Linked DNA regions of Tamandua tetradactyla. The protein of the gene in region 1 interacts with the protein of each later gene in a pairwise test. Links are inferred from orthologs where the notes say so. Each region holds a gene or a part of one and is shown in the gene's direction. Other genes may lie near its edges. The genes, in order: MAPKBP1, TEX11 and GLRX3.

The links.
Region 2: the proteins of MAPKBP1 (region 1) and TEX11 interact in binary tests that used the Homo sapiens proteins (3 or more experiments, as listed by UniProt). The two-hybrid records come from large-scale screens. The link is inferred for Tamandua tetradactyla from reciprocal best matches to the Homo sapiens genes MAPKBP1 and TEX11.
Region 3: the proteins of MAPKBP1 (region 1) and GLRX3 interact in binary tests that used the Homo sapiens proteins (3 or more experiments, as listed by UniProt). The two-hybrid records come from large-scale screens. The link is inferred for Tamandua tetradactyla from reciprocal best matches to the Homo sapiens genes MAPKBP1 and GLRX3.

The regions. Positions count from the first base shown.
Region 1 is NC_135340.1:55,454,705-55,462,628, forward strand, and holds the start of MAPKBP1 (mitogen-activated protein kinase-binding protein 1), read left to right. Parts: upstream 1-4,865; 5' UTR 4,866-5,034; intron 5,035-5,040; exon of another isoform or gene 5,041-5,529; intron 5,530-5,603; 5' UTR 5,604-5,709; coding exon 5,710-5,826; intron 5,827-7,924. UniProt on the Homo sapiens protein: Negative regulator of NOD2 function. It down-regulates NOD2-induced processes such as activation of NF-kappa-B signaling, IL8 secretion and antibacterial response. Involved in JNK signaling pathway.
Region 2 is NC_135353.1:100,742,371-100,750,073, forward strand, and holds the start of TEX11 (testis-expressed protein 11), read left to right. Parts: upstream 1-4,629; 5' UTR 4,630-5,054; intron 5,055-5,620; exon of another isoform or gene 5,621-5,687; intron 5,688-5,885; 5' UTR 5,886-5,906; coding exon 5,907-5,943; intron 5,944-6,141; exon of another isoform or gene 6,142-6,163; intron 6,164-6,411; exon of another isoform or gene 6,412-6,989; intron 6,990-7,703. UniProt on the Homo sapiens protein: Regulator of crossing-over during meiosis. Involved in initiation and/or maintenance of chromosome synapsis and formation of crossovers.
Region 3 is NC_135339.1:92,762,805-92,770,327, forward strand, and holds the start of GLRX3 (glutaredoxin-3), read left to right. Parts: upstream 1-4,521; 5' UTR 4,522-4,534; coding exon 4,535-4,629; intron 4,630-7,523. UniProt on the Homo sapiens protein: Together with BOLA2, acts as a cytosolic iron-sulfur (Fe-S) cluster assembly factor that facilitates [2Fe-2S] cluster insertion into a subset of cytosolic proteins.

The DNA.
Region 1 (7,924 bases):
AAATAACTATATTTTGGAATGTAACGCCTATTCTGTCTTCATTGACAGGATTTGCTTGTGTTGTGAAACACTAACACAAGAGCTTCCAGTGCCTGGGCTGTGCCTAGGCGATAACTACTTCTTCTGCATAACCCTGCCTTCTCTATCCCAAATCCTATTCAGCATATCTTCAGACCTAGGTTGTGAGACCAACTTTGGAATGGTTCTAGCCAGAGAATTATTACTTTCCATGGTTGGTTCCTTTTGTATTAATAATCAACAAACTGCAAAGAATGGAAAAACTGCTTCCGCCACAAATTCAATGGGAGCAAATTTCTTTTGGTTTTGTGCTACTGCCTTCTTAGACCTACTTGTTAGCACTTAACCTTCCCTCCTCTGAAAGTTACACAAGAACCTTGAAGTAGGCAAAGAGCACCCCTTAGCTTCTCATTAATCCTCACACTCCTCTTTACCAAGCAGATTTCATTCAATGCCTTAGTCAAGGAGTCCAGCATCTGCTTCCCCACTAATAATTGTCCTTGGAGGTTCCAGTACTTCAATCCAGGTATAGCAGTTTTCATTATTTCCTTGCTTGTCCCTTTCCCACATTTCCTCCTGACTTCTGAATACTCTTGTGGCTTTTGAAGGTCAACGAAGGAAGCAGGCAAGTGAGCAAACAATCCTCAGGAAAAGAAGGACTATTTTATTTTAGCTACTGAGTACTGCTCCCTTTTTAGAATAAAATAGATATGTAATAATCTCTTCTCAGCTGGAGGATATTTGATTCTGTTTATGAGGTGTATGAAGAAGGAAATGAGGGATTCCAGGTGTTCAGGGAAAGCTGCATTATAAGCTCCCAAGTTACGGTGTTCTCAAGACTGTTTAGGGAGTCATCAGGGACAATTTGAAGAGGACTCCATTTTCAGAACAATCCTGCAGTCTTTACAGAAATCTAAAATCTTCCCACAACTCTTACCTTTTAACTTTTGCCCCAGGAGAAACTGATCTATGAAAATTACATGTGTGATTATGAAAGATGTAGTTGAGTGAAAGGACTTAAGGAATCTGGAGGACAGTGACTCTCACCCTAACTCTGTAAGAAGCATGATCTCATTAGACCAATAATTCGCCTTTTTATACATCTGTAAATAAATGGAATGTTTTTAAGAATATAATTATGTCAGATTTAGCCTTTTCTTTTATATATTAAATATATATCTTTCTTTTTCTGCTTTTGAAAAGTGACTATTTTTTTAGAAACCTAAGAACAGGAGAAGTTTGATGACTGAAAGGCAGAATGTTTAAATCTGAAATAAATCAGTTATAATAATTAAAGCAGGACTTGGTGTTGGAAGGTTTGTGCTAAATTGGAACAGAGAATCCTAATGCCCTGAGGCAGATTTAAGAGAGGTGCCAGAGAAGTAGTTTCATCATAGGAATTCCTTTCTGTTCTCAAAGTTTTGGCTTGCCATTTGGGAAGGTTTTTGTTTTTCTAATCCATATAGCATGTTTTCTATGGAGACTCCAAAATTTTATACATCTTGATATCAAGTATGTCTCAATAAGTCTTTGTTCTATAGTGAACAAAGGCTTGCCTCATAGTACCAATGTGTGCAGGGCAATATACCTGTTACCCTGGGGAAAAACAGGGGACATGGTCACAATCTTAGTGCTAAGGGCAATAAGTTAGTTTCTTAAGGGAAGATCTAAGTTAACTAGCATCACAAATGACAGAGTTTTATTAAAGGAGTCCTTTATACATTGAGCTACTCTAATCTATTTAAGGCCACTAACAGATCAAGTTCAGTTATATGAACTTCTTGCAAATTTTTCACTTTGTATAATTTTAGAATAAATGCAGTAGTTTTTTTTTTTCCCCCAAAACTATGGATGAAGTAGCTGATACTAGGCCTTTCTGTACCAAGATTGAGAATGTTCTGAATATAGAAGAGAGGTGGACAATTCATATATTACTTTGGGCAAGTTTTAGTATTATAGATACATATTTTTTCTTACTCCACTGGTTGAGGTATTTGAAATGGAAGTGAGATGAGGTGAATTTGAGAGGTAAACAGAAGACATCTAAAAATTAGTGGTAACTCTCACCCCTCATTCCCAGAAGTTAAAAAACAAACACAAAAAGTGCACAGTACAGTACATTTTTAGGTACCTTTACAGAGAGTGATTGATAATCAAGAATCAATACATTTCTTGCCCAAAATTGTCCATTTTGAAGAAAGTGCTATAAAGGGCATCAATACTTCCATGTTATTGTTATTATCTCTAATGAGATTTTACATGGGCCTGAGTGGCTGGGTGCAAAGAAATTTTAAGCTGAGGTATTCAGAGTCACTGCCCTTTGGAAAAAAATTAGTCAAATAAGAATGCATATTTGAAGTTAAGTTAGAGGGAAATAATTGGATATATATATAACTTTTTAGTGGCATAACTAGTATATATTAAATATGAGTAAACTGCTCTACAAAGGCACATCAGTGTTGAAAAATGATGATGGAGGTGTGTGTGAGGAGTGGGAAGATGGAACCATGGGGTAAGTGGTGAATTTTGAGCTTTCAAATTTAAGCTCTACTAAATCCTTCTATTTTTGTAAACTCTGCTGTTAGAAGAGATTTTGTTAAATAGGAAAGCAGTCTTGGAAGCATTGTTTTGTGATCCATCGTGTTTCCAACTGCAAACATTGGGTTCAGTTGTCGCACAGTGCCTTGCATGTAAAGGTGCTCAGTAAATATTTGGATTGATGAGCAGATAATTACTCTAGCCTGCCAAGTTTTCCAGGATTTTATAACTGCACCTTGTTTGCATGTTAAGGATCAATTTTTAAATATGATCTAATGAGCATAATGCTAAATAGAAACTGTATACATCTATTCCCAGACATCTAGAACTTTAGAATGTGACAAACACCATGTATACATGTTTAGGACATGTACAAGCAGAATAAAAAGTGAAATAGCTTATGGATGCTGAAATACTTATGTCAAGGTCAATCGCATTTTGAAGGATGGAGTGGCAAGTACTTATTTGAGTGGAGAAAAGGAAATCCTTCTACTCACATTGGACCTGGGACTATATTTTCTGAGTAATCAATTCATGAAGCATGGACACAGCCAATTACCATGTTGGCACTTCAAAAGCTGCATGATACCTAGACAATAAAAATTGGACTGAACTTGTGAAGAATTAAGTGTGTGGTTTGGCCCTAGACTGGAAGTAACCAGATGCCAGACTTATGAAATCCCCTCATTACCCTGTTCTTAGTTGTTTTTCACCTAGATCATCAAGGAAGGCAGGAACTTGGATTTGGCTCAGCAGCTTCACCTCAGATGAGGATAATTTGGGGAACATTTTCTCAGAATAAATCAGGGTACCTTTGGCCAGGAAATAACTAATAGCATGTAAATCCATTTACCTGGTCATGCATGAGTAAGTGAGACACCTAGTAGGCACAAAAACGATTGAGAAAGGATTAATAAGACACATTTTTGTTTCATGTGCGAAACTGGTATATGCTGGGGTCTGCAGCACACAAAGACACAAGGTACCGCCATTCTTGAGCAGTGTTATGTTGGTTTCTGTGCCCATGGAGAATGGAAACTAGCAAGGAATTTCAGGACAAACTCCCTATTTCAAATTGTTGTAGACTCTTGTTTCTTCCTCCCAGATATCAGAAGTAATTTCTGAAATCTGATTTATATTTAATTACATTTGCAGTGCATGGTTGAAGGGAAGGAAGCCCCATGTCCGGTGACTCTTGCTAATTGGTCTTCTAGGAGATGATCCTGTTCTGTGTCAACCTGTGAGGTTTACGTACCTCGTTTTTAACACATTACAGTACGTATAAATACATGCCTGCTTGGCCACTTGGTTGTACAAAGCCGACTCCACACAGCTATGGGCTTAAGATCCCTCCCCCTCTTGACAGGTCATCTCTCCCGGGGATCCCAAGGATCTGGAGTGGGTGAGACAAGCACATCAGTGTTCTATTCTGGGACCTGGGTCTTTTGGCTTAGGCTACCCTTTTCGTAAAGCAGCTTGTTGAAGTAGCAACAAAGTGGAAAATCCTGGGGCTCTTAATGGCATAAACTGTTAGGCTGAGACACCTATGAGATATGAATACATAAAGGTGTCCCCTTACCCCCACCAATGAGCTAGAAAAACTACCATTAAATCTAGTGCCAGTTCACCATGTAACGGTTCTCGGAAAGAGATTTCACGAGGAAATTTTAACAGGAGCAAGGAAAAGATCCGGAGCCACAAAATCCTGGTTAACTGCGTGGGAGCGTGGTGGGACGTGGACGCTGAAGGAATCTTGAAACAAACCTATAGGCACGTTTACTTGAAGCCCCGCCCCTGCTCCATCATGCCCAGATTGCCCAATGCAAATCGCCGTAATTAGCCGTTTAAGCGGTTACTCGGAAGAGTCATTTCCATGTGGGTCGATGCACGAATTCCTACGCTAGCAGAAAGTATTGTGACCACTTTAAATCCTGACATTTGGGATTGGCAGTGAGAGCAGAGGCTACAACTATACCTCATTCTGAGGAGTTAGCCTCACCTCTGGTCCCTCGAGCCTATTAACTGCCCACGTTAGTACTTTGGGAACGTGATTACCGTCTTGGGACTCTGGGAAGTGCAAGTTTCCTACGGGGGACCAGATTTGATAATACCTTAAAAGGTGTGGTTCTCTTAATTCTGAAGCCATGTTATGATGACTTCCGTCTGAAAGCGGTACCCACGGTTACACTGTCCGGAATCCGTGGTTCTCGCGTCCCAAGTCTTCCATTCTATGCCCTTTCATTGGCTCCGCCCCCATAAACCTTGCGCGTCCAGTCTGGAGACGCCCTCCCGGATACAAGCGCTCCCCCTCGCCGTGGCTCCGCCTACCCAACCGGTAGCTTGGCCCAGGCAGTAGTTCGCGTTTTGAGCCGCTCGTGCCGCCATAGCTGCTGTTGGGGCTCCCGCAGCGGAGCTGAAATCGCTGAGCGCTATGCCTGAGGGCGCTGTGAGCCGGGAGGCCCTCGCGCCCGGGGTCTGGTGAGGCTGGGCCCGAGTGGGGGCGCTGATGAGTAGCAGGGGCTTCTGAGGGGGATGAAAGAGAAAGGTCCAGGTTCCGGGTGGAGGACCGAGAGCAAACTCCGGAGGGTCGGGGGAGGAGGAGGGAGGCTCCAGTGGCAAAAGGGGTTGCTGGGCCAGGGCGAGCTCTGCCGAGTTCCCCGTGGCTGCCAGCGCAGGTGCCTAGAATTCCTTACGGAACTCCTCAGTGGCCTCGGTAGCCTCCCACGGCACCGTAGTTGTCATGGAAACAGTTGGGAATTAACGGGGACCATATCAGTCAGAGCCCTGCTCGGGCCCGTCCCACCAGTTAAAAAGCCTCTGGCATGCATGGGCCTGGCATTTCTTCGTGGCTCAGGATTCCTCACCCACCCCGTTTTTACATGGGTCTACCCTCCCCACATTATAAGAAACCGCACCAGGCTTTGGAGCGGGGATGAGCTTGATATAGAGGAAAGAAGATGGTAATACCGAGAGGTAAGAGCTACAGACACAGTTAAGCAGAAGGTAAGACACCTACTCTGATGCTGAGGTGGCCTTTACCATCTCAGGTCATTGAGAGGTCGTATTGGAAGGCCCTGCGAAGTGGGAAGGCTGAGCTGCTGTTGAGACAGGTCCTAAGACTAGGCAAGGGACTGTCCCAAAGGGTTTCTCATCATGATGGCTGTGGAAGGGTCAACCATTACCAGCCGGATTAAGAACCTGTTGCGATCGCCATCCATCAAACTACGCAGGAGTAAGGCAGGAAACCGGCGAGAGGACCTCAGCTCCAAGGTGAGTCCTAGTACTGGGAGCCATTCCTTTTCAACCCTCCCCTCCCCTGCACCCTTTTCCTCTTTCACCTTCGTTTTCCATATAGGCGCTAAAGGATTAAATATGCCTCTCAAGTAGGCATTAAGTTTTAGGTTGGAGGAAAAGACTATGTTGAGACTCATTCGTGAGAACAGGTGAATAGGAGGAAGGCATACTGGATTCAGTCATGGCCTCCTACAAACTTTGTGCTTGGGGAAGCCGATTGATAATGCTATGACTTGGTTTCCTTTCTTGGAAAAGGAAGGATTCATACCCTGTTAAGGACTAAGTTGTAACTAATGCAAGCTGCAGGTGTGTCACAGCTGAGTTATGTAAGCGTTGTAGTAGTAGAAAGAAATATATTAAAACGCCTAGTCCAAGGAATTAACTTGTTAAATGCTCTTGGCTGGGGTCAAAATAATTCATGTGCCTAATTTTAAGAGGCCTAAATTGATTTAACTGGAGATTCTTGGCTTTTTAGGAATGGTATCATGCAAGTAGCCATATGTCTGCTAGCAAAAGTTTGCCATTGAACATTGCTTATTTTATTCACTCAATGACAAGAGCCAGTTCCTACCTGGCTAAGAAGTTCCTCAGAGGCCAAGTCCATTTCCATCTCTTCATTTGTCTGGGCTTTGGTCCTTATGATTTTTTTCAACTTTGTTTTTCAACTTTGGGAATTCCGAAGTGGACTAAATTTGTTTATTCCCTGAGGGAACCCAGGGCTTTGTTCCACAGGATCAGATTAGATTTATGTGTCTTATTAGCAGCCTGTAAACACAATAGCCTTGTGTGATAAAGGATTGCTACAGGGAGAGGCATTTGAGACAGCAGCATTTTATTGCCTTGCTTGTGTCTCTTCAGAGATGACTAAACCCCATAAGGAATGATTTAAAGTGCTAATGTTCAACATGACAAGGTTTTGGGAGGACTTAGATTCCTGTCCCTTAGCAGAACCTTAATTGGATTTGGTCAGAAGGTGAACAACTTTACTGTAATATTTCAGCAGAGATTGTACTGAATCAAAATTGGTCATAGGGTTCCATATTGGTAGATAGTGATCCTTCCAAGAACTCATTAATCCTTATTCATTATTTTAGTTTGCAAGAGCTACCAGAATATAATATACCAGAGATGGATTGGCTCCTAATAAGGAGATTTTATTTAGTTACAAGTTTACAGTTCCTCCAAGGAAAGGCAGCTTGCTTTTATCTGAATTTGTCTGTCACATGGGAAGGCACACAGCCATGTCAGCTGGCCTTCTCTCCTGGCTTCTGGAGTCCAGTGGCTTTCCCTGGGGTGTGTCCTTTGGGCATCTTCAAACATCTAGGTCTGAGCTGCTCTGAGCTCCCTGCGCTTCTGACCTCTCTTTTTTAAGCCTCCAGCTAATTAAATTGTCATTCATTGCTGAAGGCACTCCCCTTAACCATTCATAGATGGGCCATGTATGAATTTCACATGCTGATGATTTAAGTCCATAGCAACAGAACAACTGGGCAGCACCACCTGGCCAATTTAACACTTGAACCTAACTACTCATTTTAGAATGAGTCTGAAGTTTAGAAACTCTCTTATGTTTGCCTGTGTTGACTCTTTGTTGGTTTGAATCATTCTTAGTAATATAAACTCATATTTTTGGCTTGTAACTTGGCAATGACCAGTACTATTAGAGCAATCTTCCCAAATCTTGGCCTCTTTTGGTAGCCAAGAATGGTATAGGTAGTAGATTTGTATCGTGGAAGCTTAGTCTTCAAATAGTGTTAGTACTTATTGTAATTTTGGTCTGATATCAGGAAGGTACAGTTGCCATTTTTTTAGAACTTCCCATGTCATTTCTTGTTAATGTATTCAAACAATGCTTACTGAGTGTTTATCATGCCTGTAATTAGGGATGAATAAAGCATTGACCTTGCCATCAAAGAAAGAGCTTATGGCTAGTCAGACATGTAAAGAGATCATTACAATGTGGTATATGAAAAGTGTTGTTCTAGATGTATGCATACAGTGTTAATGAAAGCACAGAAGGGAACCTAAGTTAGCTAAGAGAAACTAGGAAAGACTTCACATAGGAAGGGATGCT
Region 2 (7,703 bases), on another chromosome or scaffold:
GTCAATAGGTGATATGGAAAGATCTCCAAGATACACTATTGAATAGAAACAAAATAAAATGAAGTTCAAACCCTAAGATGCAGAACATTTGTGTGAAAGAACAAAAGATTTGTGTGAAAGAACAAAAGAGAAGGATGTATTTATACATTAAATATTTTTTCTAGAAAAATATATGAGGAACTGTTAACCTCTGATTTCTTTGATGTACTTTTTTCAGTTTTTTAACCAGGTACAATCATTTTGCTTTCATTCCGTACAATCATTTTGCTTTCATTCCTTTTATAATACTCATAAAAAAGATTGGGGAACATTGACATTTAAGGTACAGATAGAGGAGGAGGACTCTGTGAAGAGATAGAGGCCACTTGAGGAAGAGATAGAGGAACCACTGTGTGGATGTCTAGGGAGGAAAGAACTTTTCAGGAATAGTCAAAAATGTAAAATGTTGCCTAGATACCCAGGTTGAGTAAGGTAAGGCCTGAAAATGGTTGATTGGTTTTATCTTTTAGGAGGTAATTGATGATCACTTCAAGAGCTGTTTTGATCAGGTGGTGGGGTGGAAGCCAATTGTAGTGGGTTGAGTGATTGTAGGGTGAGGAAAAGAATACAGGAGCTATAGGCTAGCATTTGGGGGCAGTAGCTGGAGGGAATGAGGGGAGAACTTTTGGATTGTTGTCTTAAGAGGTATGGATGGGGTACTATGAGAATTCACAGAAGGGAGGTCTGGAAAGGCTTCATGGATATTGAGGCTTTTAAGCAGAAGTTAAAGGGTAGGTAAAATGTGTTATTTCAGAAATGGGGAAGGGCATTCCAGAGGGAGGGAACATTTTATGCAAAAGCAAGAAGTTGGGAAAGCTTGTGATTCATTTTGCCTGGAGCCTAGGAATTTGAAGGAGTGAAGTGGAAAAAGAAGGCAGGAAAGTTAGTCTGGGGTCAGACTCTTGAAGGCGATTAATTCTAAGGCCTGAACTGAAGTGTGTAGATAAGTGTTATAAAATTGAAGAAGGGAGGGAGTGGTTCTGTGGTTTGACTCAATGAATTCCACCTCGATTACCCACTCACATGATCATACCCTAGATCTTGCCATCACCAGAATGTGCATCTCTGAAATCAATAATTTAAACATCAAGTTCTCTGTCCACAACTCTCCTAGATTTCCCAGCTCACTTCCTCAAGTGGCCTCAATAATCATCCAATTCACTGACCTCCTTCCCACACACTTTCTTTCTTTTCCTCACTCTACTCCAATCTTTACTTGCTCCCTTTCCTACATAAATTACTGAATTTATTATCATTATCGTCACTCGTTTGCAAATATCCTCAATCCCTAGGTAGCACTCCAGAGTTCCTCTGGAGGAATCCAAACATCTTCTTCATTCTTTCACCTGTGCAGTTCAGGAATGTCAGAGGAAATCACACAACTGGGCAAGCTAACTAACTGGGCAGCAAACTGGGCATTAACCTCAACTAGATGCTCAACACTCTGAAATAACGATTTCTTACCTCTTTCACACTCCCCACAGTTCTCCTTCCTACTCTCTATTGACTTTGCTCGTAGTTTGTTGAGAAAATTACATACCCATCAGATAAAAACTCCCTCATCTTCCTGTGTTTTTTTTTTAAATGAAAATAGCTTTCCTCAAGATAAAAATGTGTTTATTATAGAAAATTAAAAAACACTGGATAATATAAAGAAGAAAGTAAAAGTTCTTCAGAATCCCACCATCCAAAAACAAACATTCTTAACATTTTGTTAAATATCTTTCCAGACAATTTTTGTTCACGTATGCCTAAGATTTGCATACGTATTACATACCTTCTCTGTAATTTTTTTTCCTTTTTAAACTCAACAGTATGATATAAGCGTTTTCCCAGTTTTATAAGTACAGGTTATTTTCACAATAATGTTTTAAAGACTGTATAGTATTCCATTGTATGGCCCCAACGTACCATAAGTTGCGTAACTAGTGCACTACTGGTGAACATTGAAGTGGTTTACAATGATTCAGTGAATGTTTCCTTAATATGTTTTAGCACATTTTCCCAATTTCCTCTTTAGGAAAATTCCTAGAAGAGAAATTCTTGAGTGATGAGATAAACACATTTAAAATTTGATACACATGGCCAAACTTCCCTCCAGAAAAGTTGCAATAATGTATGCTTCTATCAGCAGTGTCCAAGAGTGTTTGTTATGTGTATCTTGCCAACTTGAGATTTTTGCTCATCTTTTTAATCTTTGCCAATCTGATAGATGAAAAACTTACCTTGCTTTAATTTGCATTCTATGATTACAGATGAGGTCAAACATCTTTCATGTGTTTATTGGTTATTTGTCTCTTCCTGTGTGAATTGTTGAGCGTATTCTTTACTCATTTATTTACTTGGAGTATTTGTCTTTTTTCTTAAGAGCTATTTTTGTGTTAGAAATATTAACTATCTGTGATATATATTGAAAAAATTTTTCTGGGCTGTGGTTTGTCTTTCAACCCTGTTTATAGAGTCATGCAGAAGATTTAAAGCTTTATGTAGTAAAACATCATCATTTTTCCTTTTTTGATTCTGGTTTTCAGATCATGTTCAGATATTGCCATTGTCATCTTTATAAAATATTTGCTCTTATTTTCTTTAAGGAATTTTATGATTTCATTTTGATCTTTGATAAATCTAGAATTTATTTTGGTGTATGAAATAAAGTAGGAATCTATTTTTTTTTTTTACAAATTACTATCCAGTTATTCCTTTCAATGCTCTTGAATAATCCATTTCCCCCCCGATTTGAATCATTTCTGTGTGTGTGTGTTTGTTTTACATATCTGTTTCTAGACTCTATTCTTTTCCATTTTAGTGTAGTTTTAACATCTGATGGAAAAAGCCCCTTCTCCCTTACTCCATTAATACTTCTGTTTTAGAATTTTCTGATGATTATTCTATAATTTCATGTTTATTCTGAAGGTGTTTTTCTTCTTCTAACAAAGTGTAATACACCTTATTACCCAATTTGCATTCCTGGCTGCTTACTTTCTTTTAATCCACTGTATTAATGAGAGTCTTAATAGGATCTCATTAGAGTCCAAGTTGTTCACCTGCCTTATGCACTATATACATTTCACCATTTCTGTATCAATTTTTTACAGGGAGGGGCAGAACATTTATAGTTGATGCTAGGGTAGGGAAGATAATGCACAGCATGTTGAGTGACACTTAGTGGTGTTTTATTATTCACCCTTGTATATGCTCCTCAATATGCACCTGCTTCTTTTCTTTCCCCTCCGGTCTCCTCCCTAGTACTTCCTTGCTCACTCTCCCGCCCCTCTTTTTTAGTTTATTCTCTCTCTTTTAATCCTCACTTGGCTTTTAATGTCTAGGAAGGTCATTTGGATCAAAAACAAGAAATTGAAGATGCCCATTCAATGTAAAGGCTTTCACCCTTTCTATGTATTTTCCTTGATTCACTGATTGTTTCAGTGCACTGGTGTCCGCTCTGTAGTCCTGACTTTGGGGTCATATTAGTGATGAGCATTATTCAATAGAGTCATGTGATTCCTGTATGCTTTACATAATCTTTAATAAGATAATCTTCACTCTACTATGAGCATTACTAATCACTAAGAGGTCTGCGATTTATGTGAAAGGGCCACTGTAGACTTGAGAGATGAGGTCTCATTATCACTTTTTTTGTTCATCTTATTGATCCATGAACAAATAAGTCATGGTGCTGGAAGTAGAGGCCTGAGTGGGATGATGGGAATTGGGAGTCCTTAGTATGCCAACGAGGTTAGGGTGAATGATAATGGAAACTGACATTTGCCATGTGCCTACAATATGCTAGCCACTGTTCTAGATGCTTTATGTACAGTATTTCATTGAACCAGAAGGCTAGAAATAATTACTTTTATTCCCATTTTACAGAAGAGGAAATCAAGGCACTAGTATATGTTGTATGGGAATTCTGTCAACTATGGGATAATCTACTGCCCCTTTCATCAGACTTCTTTCCCTAATTTAGTGATCTACACTTATGAAATGAGGACATATTAAATTGGAGGATGCAAAAGAAGAGAAGTTAATAGCAATACTTTCTCAGTTTTCCTGTTTCTCTTCACTGTACTATATGATCCAGATGGAGAAAATTTTGAATAGGGGAAAAACTATTTTTAGAGCCCTTCATTACTTTCTGTGATATATAAGGACTGACTCCAAGACTTTCAGGGTCAGGAGGGAACTCTATCCATGTTCCCAGAATGGAAGCCACAATTTCTCTTGTTCATCCTGCCAGCCATTTCTACATCTGGACTGAGATGCACAAGGTTTCAAAGAGGGTGTGTGAAGGAAGAAGTAGGAGACTTGTTAATGTTTTGATTGTGGATTATTTTCCAAATCTGGAGGCAATCATGCCTTAACACATTCAGCATCTGCTGTCTCTGGGTGGAGGTTTCAGAACAGTTCAATTTCTTGTCTGCAAACATTACCACAAGTTTAGCTGGAATCAAACATGTTTACCTATATATCCCACCCTCACCCCCAAAACCATTTGTCTGAAGATAGACGGAACATATGATCTTACTGTGAGCATGCAAGGGTGGGAGATGGGGGGCATTAGGTAGTTTCCTTCAGATTTGGCCAGGGCAGGGCAACAGAAACATGTCTTGGAACTATAGGATTTTTCAGTCTCCTCAATTTCTGACCTTTGCCATTCTTCAATAATCAGAGGGAAACATACTTTTTCACCCACCTGCCCCCAGTCCAAAGGTCTGCTCTCATCTTTCCTGTAATCCCTGTCCTCTGCATTCTTCTCTCAATTGATTGCAGTATATTTCTTATATCATCATACTTGCTTGCTCTCAGTGATTCTCACCCTAGATTTCTGAACTACATCCCTAGGGCCTAAGGTCTAGACTGCGCCCCAAGGCACAGATTCTGTGATACAGGGCAGCGCCTGTTGGGCGAGGCAGTTGATTGCGTCACTACGAGGGGAGGAGCTTTGTGAGCGTCATCTTGTGGTGTGGAAGGAGCCTGAAGAGAAGACAACTTGGCGTTGTCGGGTCCTCGGTGAGGTGAGTGTTTTAGTGGGGAGGACGGGCTAGAGGAGGATTCAGGCACAGGCTAGTTGAGTGGTTTGTAACAGCAAGATGTGGCCACTATCCTAATACTTTTTTTTTTCGTGGGCAGGCACGGGAAACGAGCCCTCTGCCTGCTGAGCCACCGTGGCCCGCCCTATCCTAACACTTTTTAAAGAATGGCCCTGAGGCAATAACTTTGGCCTACTGAGCTTCTGAGGGCTGACTTTTAGGTGAAGGGAGAGGGGCAAAGTTAGTGTTTTTTCTGCCTTAGGATAGAGTTTGGGGAGCCGTGCTGGGCCACTGAAAGCGGGAAATAATAGTTATCGTAATTTGGATGTGACAGACTTAAAACCCCGTTGAAGCTAGATTCCGTTGAAGCTAGATTCCGTTGGACTGCGCGTTGGGGGTGGGGAGCTGAAGGCGCTCGCTGAGTCTTTGAGAGCGGGAAAAACAACGCTGAGTGATTGGATGGTTTGAATGTAAAGATGTAAATGGGCCGGCGATTTTGAACCAATTAGGAGGAGGCAATGAGAACCAGCCAGACCAATTACAGGGTACCCCTGAGCCCTGTTTCTCTCTTTACTAGGCAGCTTTATGGGAAGAAAATCGCTAGTCCTCTAGGGGGAGGTAAAATCTCCTCCTGGTCCCTTTTGAGTCACCCACCAGCCTGCCCCGCCCCTCATTAACTACATTTTCTAGGTTTTTAAATATCCTCAGCCGTTTTTCCCTTTGAATAGCTAGTAACAGGAAAAATTTGATTGTAAAGAAATTTATTGAGAAACTAGATGATAAAGGAAAGACTAAAATATTTTTTTTATTTCCTAGGCCTGAACCAGAGATTTTAAAATGGAGGCTGCTGATTTTCGCTTCATGGACTTTAAAGGTACGTAGTTTTACGTGGTCATAAAGAGAATGTCAAGTTGTTCGCTGCCTTATTTTAGGTCTTTTTTTTTTTCACATGGGCAGGCACCGGGAATATTTTAGATCTAAATGTTTTTTGTAACCAACTTTTATCTCTTTGGAGATATTTTTTTCCAGGTTTTCTCAATTATTTACCAGGAAAACAATGTAGGTGCTTGACATGGGGACCCTTTTATGTACTAGTTAGTGTAGGGAAAGAAAATTCGCAATTCATAACTTGTTTTTTCAGGATTTTTACGGTATGCAAAATAAAACTGGTTTAATCTGAACTTTATCAATAGAAATTATCTGTGTAAAAGTACATGTAGGTGACTATAAAGGATTAAAGATAGCTGCTTTTGAGGCAAAGGTGTCTATAAAAATATGAATGATGCAAGAACTTTACTTAAAATTAATGACTACCCCAATAATGAGGTGCTGAAAAACTGAGTACTAACTCTGGAAGAATGGCAAGTAAAGTGGGTTAGCTGCAATATTTTATTTCATCAAGAACAAGGACATCAGCTATTAGAGAGGCGTTTGGATACTTTACTTAATGGCAAGAGTGGACAAAGGATATTTTTCCCTCTTTATGGGAAAGCAGTTGAAATTAGATGGTTTGCAGACCAGAGACATAGCGTAGTTGGTGTGGAGATCAGTGAACTGGGGATTCAAGATTTTTTTGAATCAGTATTCAAATTGGTGAATTTGACACGATTTGGGATAGAAGAGCCTTAGTCACTGTTAATCCAGGTGATCGAGAATGTGATGTTAATATAATGTCCCTAACAAGAAAAGGGTTCCAGTATTTCATGTTTGGTTTCTAACGGTCCACCTAAACATAGAGGCCCACCATTTTATAATCCAGGCACTGAAATTAAAAGTTTGTTTGGCCCAAAATGCAAAATTCATTGTCTTGAGAAAGTTGATGCTATTGAAGAGTGTCATAAAAGTTGGGGAATTGACACTACATATTTGAAAAATTATATCTATTTGCAAACAAAATCTAGTACATCAACATGTTTTTGAGCATTGGAAAATCATGTTCAAGCAGGAAAATATAATGAATGACTAAAAAAATCATTTACCAATCACATCACAGATCTTTGTTCAAAACTATATACTTATTATTTTGAGAACGTACACAATTTTGATAGTTAATCAAATGGTATTTAAGATAGTGTTTAATATTTGGAATCTAAGAAACTCTGATATTTGTATCTATAGATTTTTCCTTCCTTGCTTTAATTTTAAATTGGCTTATGAAGACTCGTACAAACAGACTTTACAATCATTACTTAGATATTTTATTTAAATATGCATATGGATAAGCTAACTAAGATATCCATTTTAGGTGTTTAAAGTTTCATATGTTAATTATAAAAACATTTGTATCTTCATATTTTCCTGAAATCAGGAAAATGTTTAATAACATAGGTCATTACTGTTACAATGTAGATATTTGTAATAACTTTCTACTTGATATTTTTAAAACATTCACAGTTTTAACAACTGATCAAATGGTATTTAAGTTACTGTTTAATATTTAGAATTTAAGAACTTTGCTCTCTGGATTTGTAGATTTTTTCCTTGTCCCCTTAATCTTAAATTGGTTTATGAAACTTGGTGTGCAAACACAGGTTTTACAATGGTTATTTGAATACTTTATTTGAATATACCTATGGTTACACTAAGATATCCAGTTTCGGTGGTTCTAAGTGTATTGCTTGTGTTCTTAAAAAT
Region 3 (7,523 bases), on another chromosome or scaffold:
TAACAGGCAAACCAATTGTATATGGCAATTTTATGCAATAATTACCAGTTTTCCCCTAAGCTTTAACATGCTGTGTGTGTGTGTTTGTATGTGTGTGAGAGAGAGAGAGAGAGGAAGAGAGAGAGAGGAAGAGAGAAGAGGAAGAGAGGACTGGACTCAACAGAGAATTAACAGCATGCGAGGTGGGGGTGGGTGCTGAGAAGAGCTGGAGGCCGAAACGCAGAGGCTCAGGGGTGGGTATGGGGGTGCATCCTGGCTCTGGCTCTGGGCAGTTTTCTGAGCAGGCAGTGAAAGTTTTGGTATCATCAACAGGAAATTGAATGCTAAAAGTGGCCACTTGTGTGCAAGGGCTTTGGATGGCCAAGAAAAGGACACTCTATAGCTGTATATATGCCTGGACATACCTGCAGATATGTATGTTCCTGGAAATACCCATTTATGCTCCTGCATATACACCTGTACGTACCTGTAGATACCTGTAACTCAGATTCAGCACTCTCCCCAAAACGTGGCTTGAGTTCAGTGCTGAGCTACTGAGTAGTCTTTGCTGCTGAAGTCAGAGCATTTTAGAGGGAACAGGCCATCTGCTGCCCCCTAGGCTTGCTGATCTCAATCATGATAACTGCAAGAAAGGGCAGGAGGGGGACTGGAAATGTTTTCCAGGCATTTTCTGGGGGCATTTTTGTTGAAGGGAGCATGCTCTGCAGCTAGCGTATACCACTTGCAGCAAATTCCATTTAAAGGAAAAATCAAGATTTATAAAACAGCCACATTAGGGGGGCAATTACTTGCGTTTTTTGAAAACTATTCACTATTGCACATTTCCCTGGTGTATTACAGTTTCATTATCTTAAAAAATTACAAAGCTAGTCCATGTTCTTTGAAAAATGCAAACGACACAAAAGTGTTTAATGTAAAAAGTAAAGGGCCATCCTTCAAACTCCCCAACTTCTAGTCTCTGGGGGCAAGTTCTAATATTTGGGGACACATCCTTCTGAAAGTTTTTTCTATGCTACACACACCTATCTTTACATATTTTGTCTACATATAATTCCATGTTTAAAAATGATTCTCAGATACACATACTATTTTACCATATGCTGTTCCCCCCTCCTATTGCATTTTTATAATAATCACTAAGGCTTTTATGTATTTTTTAAATTAAACATTTAGTTTTGAGATAATTGTAGATTCACAACTGGAGTTGTAAGAAGTAATGTGGAGTGACACTGTGTACACACAAAAGTTTTCCCCAGTGTAGCACTGTCTCACAGTCAGTGACATTGTAATGACATTGATACAATCTACCTATCTTATTCGGATGGCCTCAGTCCTGTTGATGTTCATTTGTGTGTGTGTGTTTAGTTCTACGCCATTTTATCACAGGTAGGCTTGTGTACCCACCTGGACTCCCACCTCTGTCCCACATTTTCAGTAATGTAATTTACCATTCTCAGTGGCATCTGCTTCTCAGAGTGAGGTGTGTCTGTAATGTGGCTCCTATAGGTTGCTTTTAAACCATTAGAGAAGCACTGTCCAACGAGAATAAAAAGTGATCTGCAAACGAAAGCCACCTATGTAATTTTAAATTTTCTAAGAATCTCATTAAAAAAAGTAAAAAGCAGCAGGTTTAGTTTATGTATTTTATGTAACCCAATATAGCGTTTCAACCCAATATTATCATTTCAACATGCCAACAATATAAAAAATATTAATGAGATATTTTGTGCTCTTTTTTGTGCATTTTATACTTACGGCACATTGAAATTCAGGCCAGCCACATACCAGCTCTCGGAGGCATGGAGCTGCCACAATGGATAGAGCCACACTGGACTGCACGGCTCTTAGCTGCCTGCTGTGAGTGCTTCTGTTTTTTTCCAGTTTACACACTCACAATTCTCTTTTCTGTCTGCCTCCTCTTCTGTTTTTTTTAAAGATTATGTATTGCTTTTTTAGAAAAATATTTTTATCAAGGTCAAGCCATGGAAAATATACAATCAATATCATCACATAGTTGTGTATTCATCATTGTGATCATTTTTAGAACATTTGCATCACTCCAGAAAGAGAAATAAAAAGAAAAAAGAAAAAAATCCATATATTCTGTACCCTTACCTCTCTTCATTGGGCGCTAGTATTGCAATCCATCCAATTTTTTTAACCTCTTATCTCCCCCATGATTTTTTTTTTCTCGCATGGGCAGGCACTGCCAGAGAACCCCGGTCTCTGGCACAGCAGGCTAGAACTCTGCCACTGAGCCACTGTTGCCCATTCTCTCCCCACCATTTTTATTTCTGTTTTGATCTTATTTTTTTGATCATCTGTCCATACCCTGGATAAAGGGAGTGTCAGCCACAAGGTTTTCACAATCACATGGATGCACTGTAAAAGCTTTATAGTTAAACAATCACGTTCAAGTATCAAGGCTGCTGGAATACAGTTCAACAGTCCTAGGTACTTCCCTCCAGCTACTCCAATACACCACAAACTAAAAAGGGATATGTATATAATGCATAAGAATACCCTCCAGGATAACCTCTCAGCTCTGTTTGAATTCTCTCAGCCACTGAAGTTTTATTTTGTGCCCACTTTTGGTCAAGAGGCTTTCTCAATCCCATGATGCTGGCTCATCCCGGGAGTTCTGTCCCACGTTGTCAGGGAGATTTACATCCCTGGGAGTCATGTTCCACTTAGAGGGGGGAGGGCAGTGAGTTCAACTGTGGAATTGGCTTAGAGAAGAGACCACATCTGAGCAACAAAAGAGGCTCTCTAGTTGTGACTCTTAGGCATAATTATTTGTAGGCTTAGCCTATCCTTTGCAGGAATAAGCTTCATAAGGTTGAGCCCCCAAATTAAATGCTCGGCCTGTTGAATTGGTTGTCCCTATTGTTAGTGAGAATGTCGGGAATTCCCCAGATGGGGAAGTTTAATATTTCCTCCTTTCTCCCCAGTCCCCCAAGGGGATTTGCAAATATTTTTTTATTTTCTGGCCAAAATAAACTCTGGTATGTATCAGAGCATCACACCAACCTGTACAAATCCTTCTGCCTCCTCTTAATTCTTCCAGATTAATTTTTTCTCTCCCACCCTGGAAAATGCTTTATGCTCAGTCCATATTTAAAAGGAAAATTTCTTTGTAAAAAGAATTTTGTATTCTGCTCCTCTCTCTCAAGGATACCTGTGCTCACCCTCCCAGGCCACCGAGAGATGTGCAGGGCAGCACGCAGGGGATTGGCACAGAAGTGGCAGAGCAGCACAAGGCCCCTGGGGCGAATTCCCTCTGCCAGCTCCTCCCAGCATGTGGCTCACCTGAGAGTGTGGCTTGTGGAGGCTGTCCCTGTCCACTCTCTGGGTTGTAATACTGCCGATGAGCCCTGCTCTCTGCCCCGTACTGACATCTACTGTGCTCTAGCCCAGGCATGGGATAAAGACAATTCCTGCCCTCAGTGGGAGCACTGGTGAAGGGGAGCACGTTCTTCACACAGGGAGCAGTAGGGACAGGTAGGGAAGGCTGTGTGGACACTTTCTCAAGGACGGTGCAGGAGGACTTTTAAGAGAAGCCCCAAATTCCTGGTGTAGCACCCCTTGCGATGGGAACTATGGGAGGAGAGTCTGGAGAAGATGAGGGCAGGAGAGAGCTCTGGACTTGCAGCCGAGCCTTCCCCAGACATTTAAGTCAGTAGGGGCACCGACAAGATGACCAGGTAGGAGAGAGTGTGGGGGAAGGCAAAGGACACCCTCAGAAGAGTCGACTTTAGGGGGATGCGAAGGAGAGCAAGGGTCGCCAGGGAAGGCCCGAGGCAAGAGGGGTCTGGGAGCTTGGGGGCCTGATTGGAGGTGCTAAGGGGGTCCTGGAAGCTAGGTTGGTGGAGTCCCAGGTCCTGCTGCTCTCTGGTCACAGTCCCTTTGGGTCCAGCTGGGAGTGTGTGTGTGTGTGTGTGAGGGGGGTGGAACGCGGTCTCCACGTAGGGTTCGTGGGAGGCGTCCTTTAGGTGAGGTTTGGAGACTGGGCAGCATTGTGTTCTCAGCCTTCCCAGTTCATGCCAATCTTTACGCTAAACTTTAAAGATTTCAGCTTGTAAGTGCACAGCCTGACTTCACGCACCTGCACACACAAATCCTTCCTCTGCCCTCGGGCCTGGTTTTCAAAGCTCGGAACCTGAAGCTGTAGGAGCTGCCAGCAGGAGGCTGGTGGGGTGAGGTCTTAAGCAGGTGGGACTCTCCAATCAATTAAGATTCCTGAGTCAGGACTCCCAGAGATCAGGAGTCAGGATCCCCGGGAGTCAGGACCTTCCCAGGGGTCAGGATCCCCGACAGTCTCGAGCACAGCGCGCGGATCTCGGCCGCTGGAACCCGGCTGGCTCTGGCTGTGCGCTGCAGGCCCGGCGGATCAGGTTTCGCAATAGCCCAGCCCCGCTGTGGGGGCGTGGCCGGGGAGGCGGAGCTTTGCCGGCGCGCGGCCGCCCCGCCCCGCCCCCGGCCCCGCCCCCATCGACCCGCCCGCGCTCGGTTGCTCCAGTCTGGCGGCGGCAGCATGGCGGCGGGGGCGGCCGAGGCGGCGGCGGCGGCGGCTGTGGTGGAGGTCGGTTCAGCCGGGCAGTTTGAGGAGCTGCTGCGCCTCAAAGCCAAGTAAGCGGGCCGCGAGAGGCAGGAGCTGGGCGCGGGCCGCGGGTACGGGCCGCGGGGCCGGCGGGCCTTGGGCACTGAGGGAGGAGAGCGGCCATGCCGGCGCCTTCACGCCCCGCTCGCCCGGGCGTCGGTCGGTTCCGCCCGGCCCCGCGGGCTCCCCGGGCTCCCCGGGCTCCCCGGGCTGTCCAGAGCTGCCAGGCCCGAGGCTTGGGCGTGCCCCGCTCTGGAGGGTGCGGCGGGGCCGAGAGGGTCGACCCCCGGCCCGGCCGGGCCCCCAGCGCGCTGGCCTGGCCGCCCCCGCCGGGCGCGGTGACTCAGCTTTCCCGAGGCGCTCGCTGCGGGCGGGGCCGGGGGCTGCGCGGAGACCCGGGCCCGGGGCGCGGCCGCCGCGCGAGGGACCCACCGGCGGGCTCGGCTCCTTTGTGCGCCGCCCGCCGGGTCCTGCCAACTCAAGTCTTTCTCTTTGGCACCGCGTTATAGTAGGGCTTGGCTTCCTTAGGGTGTTTAGCCTTTCTTTTAGAATTAGTGTTTAAAGTTTGTCACAGGCAGGCAGCGCTAGCATTTCCAAATTCGTCGTTGCCATAGACGGGGAATTCGTGTTTCAGGAGCTGCTTTTGTCAGTCGGTTCCGGGTTGGCGCACACGTGCTTCTTGCCCTTGAGAGTCCACAAAAGGAGATCCATCGGGATGCACAGAAAACGTTTTTCTGGAGTTAGACACTGAACCGTATGAGTGCTCACAGGTAAATGCTGACAGGTGTGCCCATGGGCGACCGTGGTAATGCACATCACACTGTAGTGTCCTCAAGGACAGCCTTCAGCTGTAAAGGTTAAGATGGGAACTTAGGTGGTCAGATCGCCTGTGGCATCCTCAGTTCAGCCCCCTTCATGGCTGGGTGACCCTAGGGTGGGCTTCACTTAAGCCTCAGTTTCCTCAACGGGAAAGTGGTTGAGAATTGTACCTCCCTCGTGGAGCTGTTGCCAGGATCAAATGAGATCAAGTAAAATGCTTAGTACTTGGCTTGGCATGCAGGAAGCACTCAATGAGTGAGTGGGAAGCCTGTTGTTTTTCAGTAGAGAGTAGCGTGCGTGCGTGGAATTCACTGGTGGTAAATGCTTTTTGACCTTAATACAGTAAAATTTTGCTGGCTGAGTTTGAGTCAGAGGCAAGTTGTATTTTGTGCTTTTATAATGGAGACTGCGATGAGATAGGGGAGTTGCCTTTGTTGAAAATGGGGAGGGGTGAAAGTTGCTCTGTTCTGGTTGACCACCCTTTACGGACAGGATGAAGTTCAAGACAGCTCTTTGGGCGTCTCAGGCTTACATTAGAAATTGTCAAACAGAAGGAAATGATGAAACCTGGATTCTAATTCAGCCAATACTTTTCTGCATACACACACACACACACACACACACACACACACACACACACACAATCTTAAGGCAGCAAATTATGGAGGACATGAGTGATGGCCTTTAGAAATGAACAGGGCTTGTGTGGACCTGCCTTTAATAAACATTTTGGACTTAACCATCATCTGAAATAAACTGTTTTGTTTGTTGTGTGCTTCACGTTTTTGTTTTTATGCTTCATATTTTAAAGTCTTTAAAATATACACGGGTAAAAGTTTACATGTAAAAACCAGTTAGATGTATTCTTGCTGCTTGTCTATACTTGAAATAACTGAAAGGACTATACTGCTTCCCATAGAGATTAGTTTAAATGAGTACCTGGGCAACTTGGCATAGGAGGGAGGAACAAATATCTGCTGTTTTTGTGAAAATGAAAGCATTTACAAATATTAAAGAGTACTTGTGGTAATGCAATCACTTAAAAAGCTTTAAAAAGCATACCTTCTCAATTTCAAATTTGGTATGAATTGACATTTTTTCTTTGCTTAAGTCATCTCAGCAGATGTTTATAATTTATGAAAACTCCAGCAGGTCTGTAGGATATTTATGTCCATTTGCTGAATAATTAATCAGAGCACCTGTAATCATAAAGAAATAACTATTGAGCAGTAGCTATTTTACTGATGAAGACTTGACATTATTAGCCAGGATTTGAACCTGGTCAGTCTTTCTCTGAATGTTTTCCTCAAACATTGCACTATGTATATTGAGTTATCAGTGAAGATGGAGAGAACACAGTTACAGATATCCTAAAGAGGACAACCCCATTTCAGGTTTATGTCCTTAAAATATTGGGCATTATGTACTTAATTGGAAAATGGAAATTTTAAGCATCTAAACATGAGAAAATCATAGATAGTTTAATGTGACAGTAGGCATTTCCATAGTGCTTTAATATTTTCAGAGTGCTTTTATATTTTTGTTTGATCTTCCCAGCAACCCAGGATATTAGGTATTCCTGTTTTACAGATGTAGAAGTTAAGAGAAGTTCAGTTACTGTTCGGTTACCTTAGTAGTGAAGCAACAGAAATTTGAATTCAAGTTGTATGTACTTTTTTCTTTTCCTTTTTTACATAGAATTAAATGCTATAAAGTATGGCAACCTACTTTAATTTTTAAAAATGTGATATGTGAGCATTTTCCCATGTCATTAAAAATTCTTTGATAACACAGTTTTTCTGTTGTATAGTATAACATACATAGAAAGCAAAGAAAAAAAAAGCAGTCGTTTTCAAAGCACTCTTCAACAAGTGGTTACAGGACAGATCCCAGAGTTTGTCATGGGCTACCATACGATCCTCTCAGATTTTTCCTTCTAGCTGCTCCAGAATATAGGAGGCTAGGGGGCTTAAATACTTTTTTCATCATCACAATCGACTTTTTTTTCCTTCTTTTTTTATGAAAAATAACATATATACAAAAAAGCTATAAATTTCAAAGCACAGCACCACAATTAGTTGTGGAACATATTTCAGACTTTGAC